Macaca mulatta: one gene and its partners. The protein of the gene in region 2 interacts with the protein of the main gene of each other region in a biochemical or structural test. Links are inferred from orthologs where the notes say so. Each region holds a gene or a part of one and is shown on either strand. Other genes may lie near its edges. The genes, in order: NOTCH2, JAG1 and CD46.

Region 1 (3,647 bases), on a different chromosome or scaffold from region 2:
TCCCGGGGAAGACGATCCATATGGTCTGTGATGTCTCGATTGGCAAAATGGTCTAACAGGATCTTGGCTGCTTCATAGCTCCCCTCCCGGGCAGCAAGAAACAGCGGTGTCTCTTCCTACAGAAAAGGCCCATCACAGAACACGTTAACACTCTTGAGAATATAGCAGTTTTTCTCAGTCTTTCTTATTATCACCCCCTTAGACATGTTTTCCTAATTATCTCCCCGATGAAATATTAACATCACAGATAGGCTGTGCCTCTACCAGTGTACTGAATGTATATCTGTGATTTATACACAAAAAGAGTAAGATTATTTCACCTCTCCTCAAAAAACAATTTTGCACCTTAGGAGGAACATCTCTTTAGTTGGGAATTCATAAAATAAAGCATGCCCCTGAGCCAGAGACTCACTTAAAAGAGTACTGAGCTTATCAAAATAAGGTTCTAATAGGAAAAGGAGTTAGAAATAAGAAAGGTAGGAAGAGAAAAAACTAAGGCATGCACAGGACTGGGAAAAATAAGGGAAACAGTGAAAGAAAGAAGAGACAAAACGTGCAAGAAAGGACTAAGATGAGGAAAATGAAGAAAACTGAGAGAAGATGAATGACAGAAGGAAGCAGGACAAAAAACTCAGACGGAGAAAAATCAAACAGGAAAACATCAGGGTATCCAAGGATAGAAAAAGCAGCAGCAGGAGGGAAAAAAGAAAGAAAACAAGAGAAAAAGAAGTGACTATGAACAGAAGAGACAGCTGGAGAAAAGGAATGTCAGGGAGAGAAAAGGTTACACCAAGCTATCTATAGCCAGCCTACTGCAAGCTGAATACTGAGAGGGAAAAGAACTCCATCCTGACACATGCCTGGACAAGCCCTATATTCTCATCAAGCTCTCCAAACCCAGTGTCTGCCCAAACTGCTTCCATCTTTGTCTATACATATCACAAGAGAAGCTGTAAGGAGAAATGGGAAGGGGCTTATAACTGAGGCACTGCTATGAGCCTCCTTAAACTCAGAGCCACAAATTGTACCTTGTTGTCCTGCATGTCTCGGTTAGCCCCATTTTTCAACAGCAAAAGAGTCGCCTCCACATTATTGACAGCAGCTGCCCAGTGAAGGGCAGATTTTCCTGAAGGGGAGAAACATTTTTATAAACAGACATATCATACTCTTAGTAAAAAACACCATGACTTGTACAACGAAACTTTAAATTCCCCAGAGATCAGCAGGAAGCAGTTCTCTGTAGGGGTCTATAGGAAAAACCAAAGTAATCTCTTCCTTTTCCTCTGTTCTAGAAATACTTCAGTACAGGCTGCCTAGCCTGCAGAAGACCTCTAGGTGAAAGGATCACTTGTATGAGGTATTCATGTCCCCTACATGGCAGAATCTACCCTGTTACATACTGAAGACAAAAACCTATGTATTACATGTCAGAATTTATATTGAGAATATTCCACAACTCTCCTAGAGAAGTCAGCTCTCATAAATCCTCAAATCAAGAGTGGTATGCCTAGGAAACTACATGGGAACACCTTTCATGTATCTGCTCTGAGGTCCAAGAACCCTCATTAAAAATCCCTCATTTTAATTAGGGATCTCCTACTGGCTTGGATCTCTGAGTTCAGCATGTTAAAGGAAGAATGAATAAATGCATGAATGAAAGAATGAGTGAATCTCCCATGTATATGAATCTCAGACAGTTCTTTAAGGGTCATGTAACCATTCCCCCTCCTCAGAGGCATGCTTTGCAGGTAAGAATCCAAATCCCTGCCTTTCATCCCTACCATGGTCATCCACTGCATTCACATCTGCTTGGCAGTTGATCAGTTCTGCCACCATTCCCTCCACAGCCAGGCGGGCAGCCAGGATCAGGGGTGTAGTACCATCATTCATCCTGGCATCTAGATCAGTTACTCGGTTGCGAATCAGAATCTAGAAGAGGAGAAAATACAGAAAAGAGAGTCACCTGGATAAAGGAAAATAATGAAACTCAGTGAAGAAACAAGGGCATCAGAGCTGAGGCTACACTGTAGGTTCCCAGAGGGGAGGGAAAGTCTTGTTATCTTTGTGCCCAAGATTCTATCGTCATCAATCAATAAATAGTTGTTGATTGAATAAATAAACAAATACGTGCTCAATAAATAATGGCTGATGTAAAGTGAAGAGCCTTCTACTTCCTCAGGAAAGAAGAGGGATGTGGGGAAATATCACAACTTCAGTCAGTCTACAGTCTAAGGTGATTCAGAATGCTTCCGATTTCCTCGTAAGGATAAACAGGCATCAGGGAATATAATAGGAACTCAGGTCAAGAAAACTGCCAATGAGCAGCTGGAAGCCCATACAGTCAGGCCAATCCGTAAGCAGTAGTGGATACAAGTCAAAGGCTCCAGAACAGGTATCACTCTCATCTAATCTATGCATTTGGGAAGCATCTTGGCACAACAAATTATCACTAATAATCAGAAAGACTGCTGTTGTCTGCAGTTGGCTCTATCACTATCTTCCTATATAGAGCTGGGTCAGTTTGCCTGTCTCCCTTCCCACTTTCCCATCTAGCAGGCATGACTCTAATACCTGCCCTAATCTCTCAAATGATTGAATAAATTCAATGAGATATTAGTTCCTTAAAAAAGATAAAACTGTACAGAGCCATAGGAATTATTATTCAAGTGACTCTTCTCATGTTCTTTACCTGGAAGACACCTTGGGCATCAGCTGCCACTGCAGCATGGAGGGGGCAGCGGCCCATGTTGTCCTGGGCATTGGCATCTGCACCTGCATCCAGGAGACGCTTGGCAGCATCAGCCCGTGAGTAGCGGGCTGCAAGGTGCAGGGCCATCTCACCAGTCCGGTCCGTCTGGGCCTGGAGGCTGGCACCTTGGTAGACCAAGTCTGTGATGATGTTAGCAGAAGAGTCCTCTGCATCTTCATCTTCATCACTCAAATCTGAGCTGCCTCCTCGGAGAGAAGCCAACATTAATGGGGTGCAGCCATCTGTAGGAATGGAAAATTCCATAAAGTACTCAAGAAGGAGAAGGCAGTTAACCCTATCTTCAGCTTGAAACAGCTCTATTTTAGTTACTCTTAGGGGCAAAGAATTCCCTGCACTTCTTGTAGTAACTGGTTATTAGTTTCACATTTGCTACGTTTTCCTCTGATAACATCGTTTCTGTAAAGAATAATGGGAAAGTACAAGTCTTTTTAAGCTGGGGGTTCTTCTCTAAGTAAAACAAGTTTTTCTGTTCAAGTTTAAGTGATATGTTATTTTAATTGGACATTTAAAAATATGTAATATTAATAGAGCAATTGATATATTCATAAGGTATTAACTAACTATCCTCTGCTTTGGGATATTATTTTTCTATCCTACTACAATCTAACCCATTTTATCAGCCTGTTTAGTCTCAACACACTGTTCGTGAAGCAATGTGAAATCCTTCCCTTTCTGAGTTGATAATTTCTTCATGGCTACATTTCTTAAGCATTCATTTCCTCAAGCTGATTTACAGTCTGTGAAATTGGGAAGGGGTATATGGCTGGATGGGGCAAACACAGGGACAGCAATGTGGAACCATGGGCAGACACAGCCCAGTGAAGAGGGGAAGAGGCCGGGTGCTGACCTGGGCCCCGGACATTCACATCCAACACAT
Region 2 (3,647 bases):
ATATTGGTCAGGCTGGTCTTGAACTCCCAACCTCAGATGATCCACCCTGCCCACTCGGCCTCCCAAAGTGCTGGGATTACAGGTGTGAGCCACTGCACCCCGCAGTGTTGAAATTGTTTTAATCAGAAACAGCAAGGCTGGGGAAGACCGGTCGAGGCTTATCTTTACATCTGGATCTAAGACTGAGGTCGTGTTCAATTTACCAGATCACTCTGCCTCGGAGCCTCCATATCTATGTTGGAACATTCTGGAATGTTGCTAGGTTGGGTGGTTCCTCTTTAGGAGTTTCTTCCCCACTTTCACCAAGTACAGGTGACTGAATGCCCATGTGAGGGCATTAAGTGGGTAAGGCACTCTGGAAGTTTCTGCTTGATAAGCCGCCTAATTTGAGAAACAGCCCTGATGGAGGGTGGCAGGTGGAGGTGCCAGGTGCATTGTGTCAGGAGGGAGCCATGAAAACTGCCGAACAGTGCTTGTCTATGGCTTCACTTGTCCTTCAGCTCTTTTTTTTTTTGCTTTGTTTGGTAGATATTAATGACTGTGAGAGCAACCCCTGTAGAAACGGTGGTACTTGCATCGATGGTGTCAACTCCTACAAGTGCATCTGTAGTGACGGCTGGGAGGGGGCCTACTGTGAAACCAGTGAGTCTGCCACTGTTTGGGGAGCTCTGGGATGTATGGGTCATATTGGAGGGATCCCACTTCAACGTGGGAAATCTTTCTTTGTCCTGGAAATCTCTGGAAGCAAGACCCCAGTGATTTCTGCAATAGGACAGTATCACTTGTGTCTCATTTGCGTTTGAGTACTGATGACAGCTTATGGGGAGGAATTTCTGCTGAGGAGCTATAGAATTAGACTGTGTAACAAATATTCCTGCTTGCAAGGAAAGTCATATTTCTACTTTAATTTCCATGGGACTTCCAGAGGCCCACCCCACATCTTGCCTAACTTGTGGCATTCAAAGTAACCTGGTTGGGAGCTCCTTTATTCCTGGAAAAGCCTGATTGTGTTAAAGTACTACGGCTGTTCTCAGAATAGGGTGTTGGATGTAGCAGTAGGAAAGGCTTGGCTCTCGCCTGTCGTGAGTGGTCCTGGACTTGGTCTTCAGCCGATTGTCTCCTCTTTGATTCTAGATATTAATGACTGCAGCCAGAACCCCTGCCACAATGGGGGCACGTGTCGCGACCTGGTCAACGACTTCTACTGTGACTGTAAAAACGGGTGGAAAGGAAAGACCTGCCACTCACGTAAGTGGTAGTTGGCCTTGGATGCTATCTCTGAGACCCTTCCCTCTGTCTCCTGTGGGAGGGGGCCACTGGGACTCACACTGAGATATTTTCCTCCAGGTGACAGTCAGTGTGACGAGGCCACGTGCAACAACGGTGGCACCTGCTATGATGAGGGGGATGCTTTTAAGTGCATGTGTCCTGGCGGCTGGGAAGGAACCACCTGTAACATAGGTAACTTTCTGCCCCACGTGGGATCTGCAGTGGGCATGGCCACCTGGGTGTGTCTGCTGGTTGGCCCCTGGAGCTTATGATATTTCTCTGGGCCTGGTTCTTGCCCCTCCAGACTGTTTCTGGATACTCAGGGAGGGTGGTCGTGTCTGCTCTTCTTTATAGCCCGAAACAGTAGCTGCCTGCCCAACCCCTGCCATAATGGGGGCACATGTGTGGTCAACGGCGAGTCCTTTACGTGCGTCTGCAAGGAAGGCTGGGAGGGGCCCATCTGTGCTCAGAGTGAGTGTCCTCCCCCTTGAACTCTCCCAGGGCTGTCGGAGCAGATCCTGACACCCTTGGGGACTTGCAATGGAAACCAGAAGCAGAGCTGTTTGATGTCTGCTTTTGTATCACCTGGGTCTGCATTAATGACTTGATGGGATACAGCCCTGACCTGGGCATGAGAAAGTCGCCAATGAGATAAGTGGAGACAGATGGCGTCTCAGTTCCCAGCTCTGGGTCTGACCAGCAGCCTGTCTCCTTCCATTCTCACCCCCACCCCTATCCCCTACCAGGGCCTCTTCCTGCGTACATGTGTCCCACAGCAAAACTAAGTGTGGTGCGGGCCTGGTTCCAATTTAGCGAAGGTATTTTGCTGGTGTTAACTACGACTTTATCATTTGGGTATTAAGGAAATAAGTGGTGGTTTTACTTAGGGCTAAGACCGCTTTCCCTTTTGAAGGCCTCACTATTAAGTTGTCTTTTCTTTGCAGATACCAATGACTGCAGCCCTCATCCCTGGTAAGTGTGACATCCTTTTAAGCCAGCACTCATCCAGTATCGTGTGTGTGTGTGTGTGTGTGTGCGTGTGTGTGTGAATCACCCAGGGATCGTGTGTAAAATGCAAGTTCTGAGTCAGGAGATCTGGGGTGGGGCTTCAGACTGCTTTTCTAACAAGCTCCCAGGTGAAGCGATCCTGCTGCTCCACGGACCACACTTTAATTAGCCAGCTTGTGTCCTCATTTAGAGCAGTGATTTTTCAACCTTGGCTGCACACCAGAATCACCTGGGAGCTTTTAAAAATCCCATTGCCTGGGCTGCAACCAAGACCTACGAAATTAGACTTTCTGGGGGTGGGACCCAGGCATCAGTATTCTTTAAAGCTCCCCAGGCAATAGCCATGGGGTGAGAGCCACTGACTGTAACTGGTGTGGTGACATGCGAGTGACTGGCAGCCAGAGTCATGGACTGGGAGGTTGGTAACCAAGGCGGTCTTTGCTTTCTCAGTTACAACAGCGGCACCTGTGTGGATGGAGACAACTGGTACCGGTGCGAATGTGCCCCGGGTTTTGCCGGACCTGACTGCAGAATAAGTAAGGACTGTCCCTGTCTGATTTTCCCAATGGCTTTACCCCTTCATTCCATACCTCAGCCCGAGACTTTCATCTTTAAAAACAAAGCCACCATTCCGTTTAAGTAGCTCTCAGAGAGCAAGGATCTCCCTCTTCCAGCTGGGATTAAGATATCCCAGGCTGGATCCTCCCAGGTACCTGCTGGTGGTTCCCTGGGTGGTGTCGCCCTCCTTGTTCTTGGGGAGAGAGTGCCAGCCACAGAATCTGATGATTACACTGGGGTCCTGAAGAAAGTGTGTGCATTTCCCCGTGACTAACATGAAATTATGGGCAAGCAGACATTAACCGCAGCTACACTGGTATAGGATAGAGCTAATACAAATGGAAGGGAGGACGACTGTGGCTTCCAGAGGCTTGTCTCTGCTGGGTCTGATCAGGCCCTGGAGAAATGACTAAAATAGGAAAATACGGGCAGGCAATGCAGTTTTTCAAGAAGTTTAAAACGTATTATTTCGAGCCTTTTCTCTAATTTTTTTTTTACAAGCCCTTTCTCTTACAGAACAAAAAAAGGTGCTAGAGTAGTTATGGTTTGATTCTTGTACCCAAATTGTCTGAAATTTTACTGGTGCTTGAAATCCAAGTCTGGGATTAACTAGTCTTCAGCACTAGATGGGGGCAGGTTGTATCTGTTTCATGTTTCTAAATAAACAGTTGGCAAACTGTGGCCTAGGGGCTGTATCCAGCCCACTGTCTGTTTTTATACATACAGTTTTCTTGGCATAGAGCCACACATTCATTTACGTATTGTCTATGGCTACTTTCATGATACCACAAGAGTTGAATAGTTGTGACAGA
Region 3 (4,231 bases), on a different chromosome or scaffold from region 2:
TCAGTTTCTCATATTTGCTATTCTTTTGCAATATTTGCTGCATAGAATTCCATCACACAAAGCTAACTACCAGAAATTCCTTATTACTTTTGCTAGACACTTAGGGTTTACATTTTTTAAAATTTATAAATCTTTGATCACAGCTCTGATGATTTCTCTGGGAACTGATAGCCTAACAGAACTCATGTCCACTTTAAGACTTTTAACATTCTGAAAAATTGTATTACAAACAGAGCGCTGGTCTCCCTGCAACACGTTCACTCACACTGGCTGAGGTTTTAATTCTTTGCCAGTCTGAGAGGAAGAAATGCCAACTCTTTGTTTGCTCTTGTAATGCCAGTCATGTCCCTTTTTTTCCTGTTACCAGTCATACCGGTTTACTACTCAGAACCCTACAAATCAATCCTGCTCATTCTTAATTTTCCGATATTCTTCCTAAGATTGTTTCACCAGAAAACTTCTCCCCCTTATCCACTCTTCACCTAACAATTTCTACCCACCCCAATCCTCCTGCATTCATTGCTTCCAACTGGCACGTAGGACACCCTTGGTCTTACGTTGTTTATGCATGTGTATTTCGTCTTCAATAAAACATTCAGTTGCTCAAGGGCAAGGGCCCCATAGAGTCTCAATATGCTAACGGCCTGGTGTTGCCTAATAATTTAGATTCTGAGGGGTCCTCTCCAGGGAGGGGAGCAAAGAGCAAATTATCTTAGGGGCTGGGAGTGCAGAAGTCAAACCTTTGAGATTGTGAAAACAAGACGGCCCCGAGAAGATTCAGTAGCAGGTATTCAAGCAGGAAAAACTCACATATTGTTTCTAATAATGCCTGACTAATGCAAAATACCAAATAAGGGCCCAGGCAGTCCAGACGGCCTGCAGGGCCCCAGGATAAAACTAACCCTGAGGGGTGCTGGCCCACGGTGACCCCCTGCCTGGACTCTGGATCTCTGTTTTTACGTCGAAGTGCTTTATTCTTGATTCTCGAGTTCCCGGAAACGATGACCAAAGCAGCTTAGTTTTCCACCCTTCCTTGGTCACAAATATGACGATGAGGCAGCCCTTTCCCGCACGACGCCTCAGGGTTCCGGGATGGTCAGCCAAAAGTTTACCAAGAAAAGAGGCGGGTCCGGGAAGCCAGGGCAGATAGGCCCCGCCAGGGCCACGCCCTGTCTCCTCGAAGGCCAACGGCTGCCTCTGAGCCCCGAGGCCCGACCCCACAGCCCGCCGATTGGTCCCAGCCTCCCTCGTGAGTCGACTGACTTCCGCCCCCGGCGCGGTTCAGGCCACGCCCACCTGTTCTGCGGCCCTAGATACTTTGTGAGTTGGTGATTGTTGCGTACCATAGCCGGACTCAGAAGGGGCTTCCCTGCTCGGCTGGCTCTCGGTTTCTCTGCTCTCCCTCCGGAAAAATAGCGGCGTCTTCCGCATCGCGCCATGGCTTCTTCCGGCCGCCGCGAGCGTCCCTTTTCTTCCGGTCGGTTTCCTGGGTTGCTTTTGGCTACCCTCGTGTTGCAGCTATCCTCCTTCTCCGGTAGGACCCCGGGGCGAGTTCGCGCGTCCGCGGCGAGGCTAGAGCTCTGCGCAGTCAGTCGGGCAGGAGGCGCGGGGCGGGGCTCACTGCACGTCGTGCCTGCCTGGGATAGAGAGCGAGGCCAGGGTTCTCCGAGGGGTGTAGTGCTCAGATCCCGGGGGTATGTGGCGGGGATTGCGGGGACCACGCAGAGCCCGAGGTGAAGCTTGTTTCGGGGCGTGGTGTGCGCGGCCGGCATTTACGCAGGATCTGGCTGTGTCCCCTTCAAAAGCGTGAACAGTGTTTTCGGGATTGAGCCCTGTCGACAAGGGGAGTGCGGACTGCGCGCCCCAGGTGAGGGCTTGCTCTGGAGTGCACAGGTGCGTGGGAGTGTTGCTAGGGCCCGTGCTGTGCCCGTGGTGAGAGTTTGCCCTGTGTTCCCTTGGTGCCTTGGTGAGTGGAGTGTTCATTAGGGCTTGGACAGTACCCGCGGTAAGGGTTGCAGTGCGTCTGCTGTGCCCCATGTGCTGGACTGGGCTGGGCGAGAGGGGCCTGGCCAGGTGTTGCTGGGAGCCTGTTGTGCGCAAGTGGCCTGTGTGCGGAGTTCACTGTGGGCAAGACAGCTAGCTCACTGTTTGCTTTGAATGGAGTGAGCGCGGACGCTGGGGCTGGGGAGGGCATATTGGGTGAGAGGAGGCTCTCAGTGCCTGGTGTTAGAGAGGTGGTAAGGGCGCGCCATGCTTTTTGTGCCTTCTGTGAACAGACTTCTGTGTTGCCTGAGCTCCTATTAGTTTTTAAATGGCTGCTTTTTTGGGGGTGGGTGGACCATCGAGTCATTTTCCTGTTCCCAACCAATAGAGACAGTATCTGATTCCATTACCTAATGGATTTTTGACATTGTTTTCCTTCTTTTCATTAGAGTCATATTTGAGAGATGTGAAGCAACCTAAAAAACACTGGTAACCAAGCCTAGTGAGAAATTAGTATCCTAACAAAGGAAGGCAAATAATGTTAATCTTGTTTTCCCCTACAGCTCATAAACTAAAGCTTAAGGCCTATCCCACTAAATTTGTATTGTATTTCATTGAATGGAATCAGTAATTTTAAAAATGCATGCTAGGCCAGGCGCAGTGACTGACGCCTGTGATCCCAGCAGTTTGGGAAGCCCAGGCGGGGTGATTGCTTGTGCCCAGGAGTTCGAGATCAACGTGGGTAACATGGCAAAACCCCATCTGTACAAAAAATACAAAAATTAGCGGGGCATGGTGGTGTGTGCCCGTGGTCCCAGCTACTCTGGGGGCTGAGGTAGGAGATTCGCTTGAGCTCAGGAGGTGAAGGCTGCAGTGAGCTGTGATCATGCCACTGCACTCTAACCTGGATGACAGAGTGAGACCCTGTCAAAACAAAACAAAACAAAACAAACCGCTAAGAAATACATGCTTATTGTATGACACGAACAGAATCAAAAGACACTATTTTTAATATTTTGGTATATTTCTTTCTGACTTTATGTGCGCTTCATGTGTATCTATGTCCAAATTATATTTAGGATCTAATAACGTATAGTTTCTGTGTTGCATTTTTTTCCTTAGGAGCATTTGCTCAACGAATATGGGTTTTGTATGTCTATTGCTATTACACTGGTAGGCAATAACAAACCATTCCTATTTTCTTGATCCTTTTTTCACTATTGGTTTACACACACGTTCATGCAGGAAGATAAGCAGAGACTTTGTTTTGCTCGATGCTAAGTGCTCAGTGCCGGGAACACAGTAGGTAACCAATCAATTATTTGCTACAATGTATTGGGAGTGGCAGACATTAACCAAAACTTAATAGTAACAAATAAATTATGAACCAAGGGAAGTTCTCTGGAGGAAAGGCGTATAATTTTCAGATATAAATCTGACAGCATTTAACAGATGTCTCGAGGGAGGGAAGGCTTTTCTGCTCATCAAACAGACTTTGGGGCATCTGTGCTTGCTGTTCCCTCAGCCTGGGAACACTCTCCTCCTGACCTGCTGCAGAAACAGGCTTGCTCTTCTGCAAAGTCAGCTGGAAGGTTATGCCCTAGGAGACCTTCTCTGAACGCGCCCCCACAACGTCCCCGCCCCCACAACGTCCCCGCCCCCACAACGTCCCCGCCCCCACAACGTCCCCGCCCCCACAGCGTCCCCGCCCCCACAACGTCCCCGCCCCCACAACGTCCCCGCCCCCACAACGTCCCCGCCCCCACAACGTCCCCGCCCCCACAACGTCCCCCATCTCAGGTTGAACATACAACCCGGTTCAAGTCCCTCTTCACTTGTAATCACCCTTTTAAAATGACCTTTTCTGTTCTTTGTCTCTCCCTGTTAGAATGCAGGGATCCTGCCTGTGTTGTCAATACTTGTGGTTCCAAAAGCCCCATTTGTTTGCCTCCATATCTGTTAAATACCAGAAAATTAAATATACTATTCGGCTGGGGATTAGAGCCTAGGAAAAAGCTCCTCCTGCCTCCAAGAGGAAGGTTGTTTAAAGAGCTCTGCTCAGGATGGTCTTTCTGTGGTACCTAAAAAGCTAGGGCAGGGGCAGCTGAGGGCCAGAAAGGATCTGTCTCCCCTGTTTGTGTTAACTTTGCAGAGCTTCCGGTACTTCAGTCTTGCATCTCACTGATCATTAAAACGTTCATTTTGAAGGAGGGTGATGGGAGTAGGGAGCAGTGGTGATAAGAAAACG

What was found.
Region 1: the proteins of JAG1 (region 2) and NOTCH2 form a complex in vitro, tested with the Homo sapiens proteins (2 studies listed by BioGRID). The link is inferred for Macaca mulatta from reciprocal best matches to the Homo sapiens genes JAG1 and NOTCH2.
Region 3: the proteins of JAG1 (region 2) and CD46 form a complex in vitro, tested with the Homo sapiens proteins (2 studies listed by IntAct, with this or other methods). The link is inferred for Macaca mulatta from reciprocal best matches to the Homo sapiens genes JAG1 and CD46.

The regions. Positions count from the first base shown.
Region 1 is NC_133406.1:120,370,097-120,373,743, reverse strand, and holds part of NOTCH2 (neurogenic locus notch homolog protein 2), read right to left. Parts: coding exon 3,618-3,647; intron 2,992-3,617; coding exon 2,690-2,991; intron 1,930-2,689; coding exon 1,782-1,929; intron 1,127-1,781; coding exon 1,029-1,126; intron 117-1,028; coding exon 1-116. UniProt on the Homo sapiens protein: Functions as a receptor for membrane-bound ligands Jagged-1 (JAG1), Jagged-2 (JAG2) and Delta-1 (DLL1) to regulate cell-fate determination.
Region 2 is NC_133415.1:73,376,931-73,380,577, forward strand, and holds part of JAG1 (protein jagged-1), read left to right. Parts: intron 1-528; coding exon 529-642; intron 643-1,134; coding exon 1,135-1,248; intron 1,249-1,347; coding exon 1,348-1,461; intron 1,462-1,623; coding exon 1,624-1,740; intron 1,741-2,213; coding exon 2,214-2,241; intron 2,242-2,727; coding exon 2,728-2,813; intron 2,814-3,647. UniProt on the Homo sapiens protein: Ligand for multiple Notch receptors and involved in the mediation of Notch signaling. May be involved in cell-fate decisions during hematopoiesis. Seems to be involved in early and late stages of mammalian cardiovascular development.
Region 3 is NC_133406.1:65,496,679-65,500,909, forward strand, and holds the start of CD46 (membrane cofactor protein), read left to right. Parts: upstream 1-1,290; 5' UTR 1,291-1,437; coding exon 1,438-1,534; intron 1,535-4,231. UniProt on the Homo sapiens protein: Acts as a cofactor for complement factor I, a serine protease which protects autologous cells against complement-mediated injury by cleaving C3b and C4b deposited on host tissue.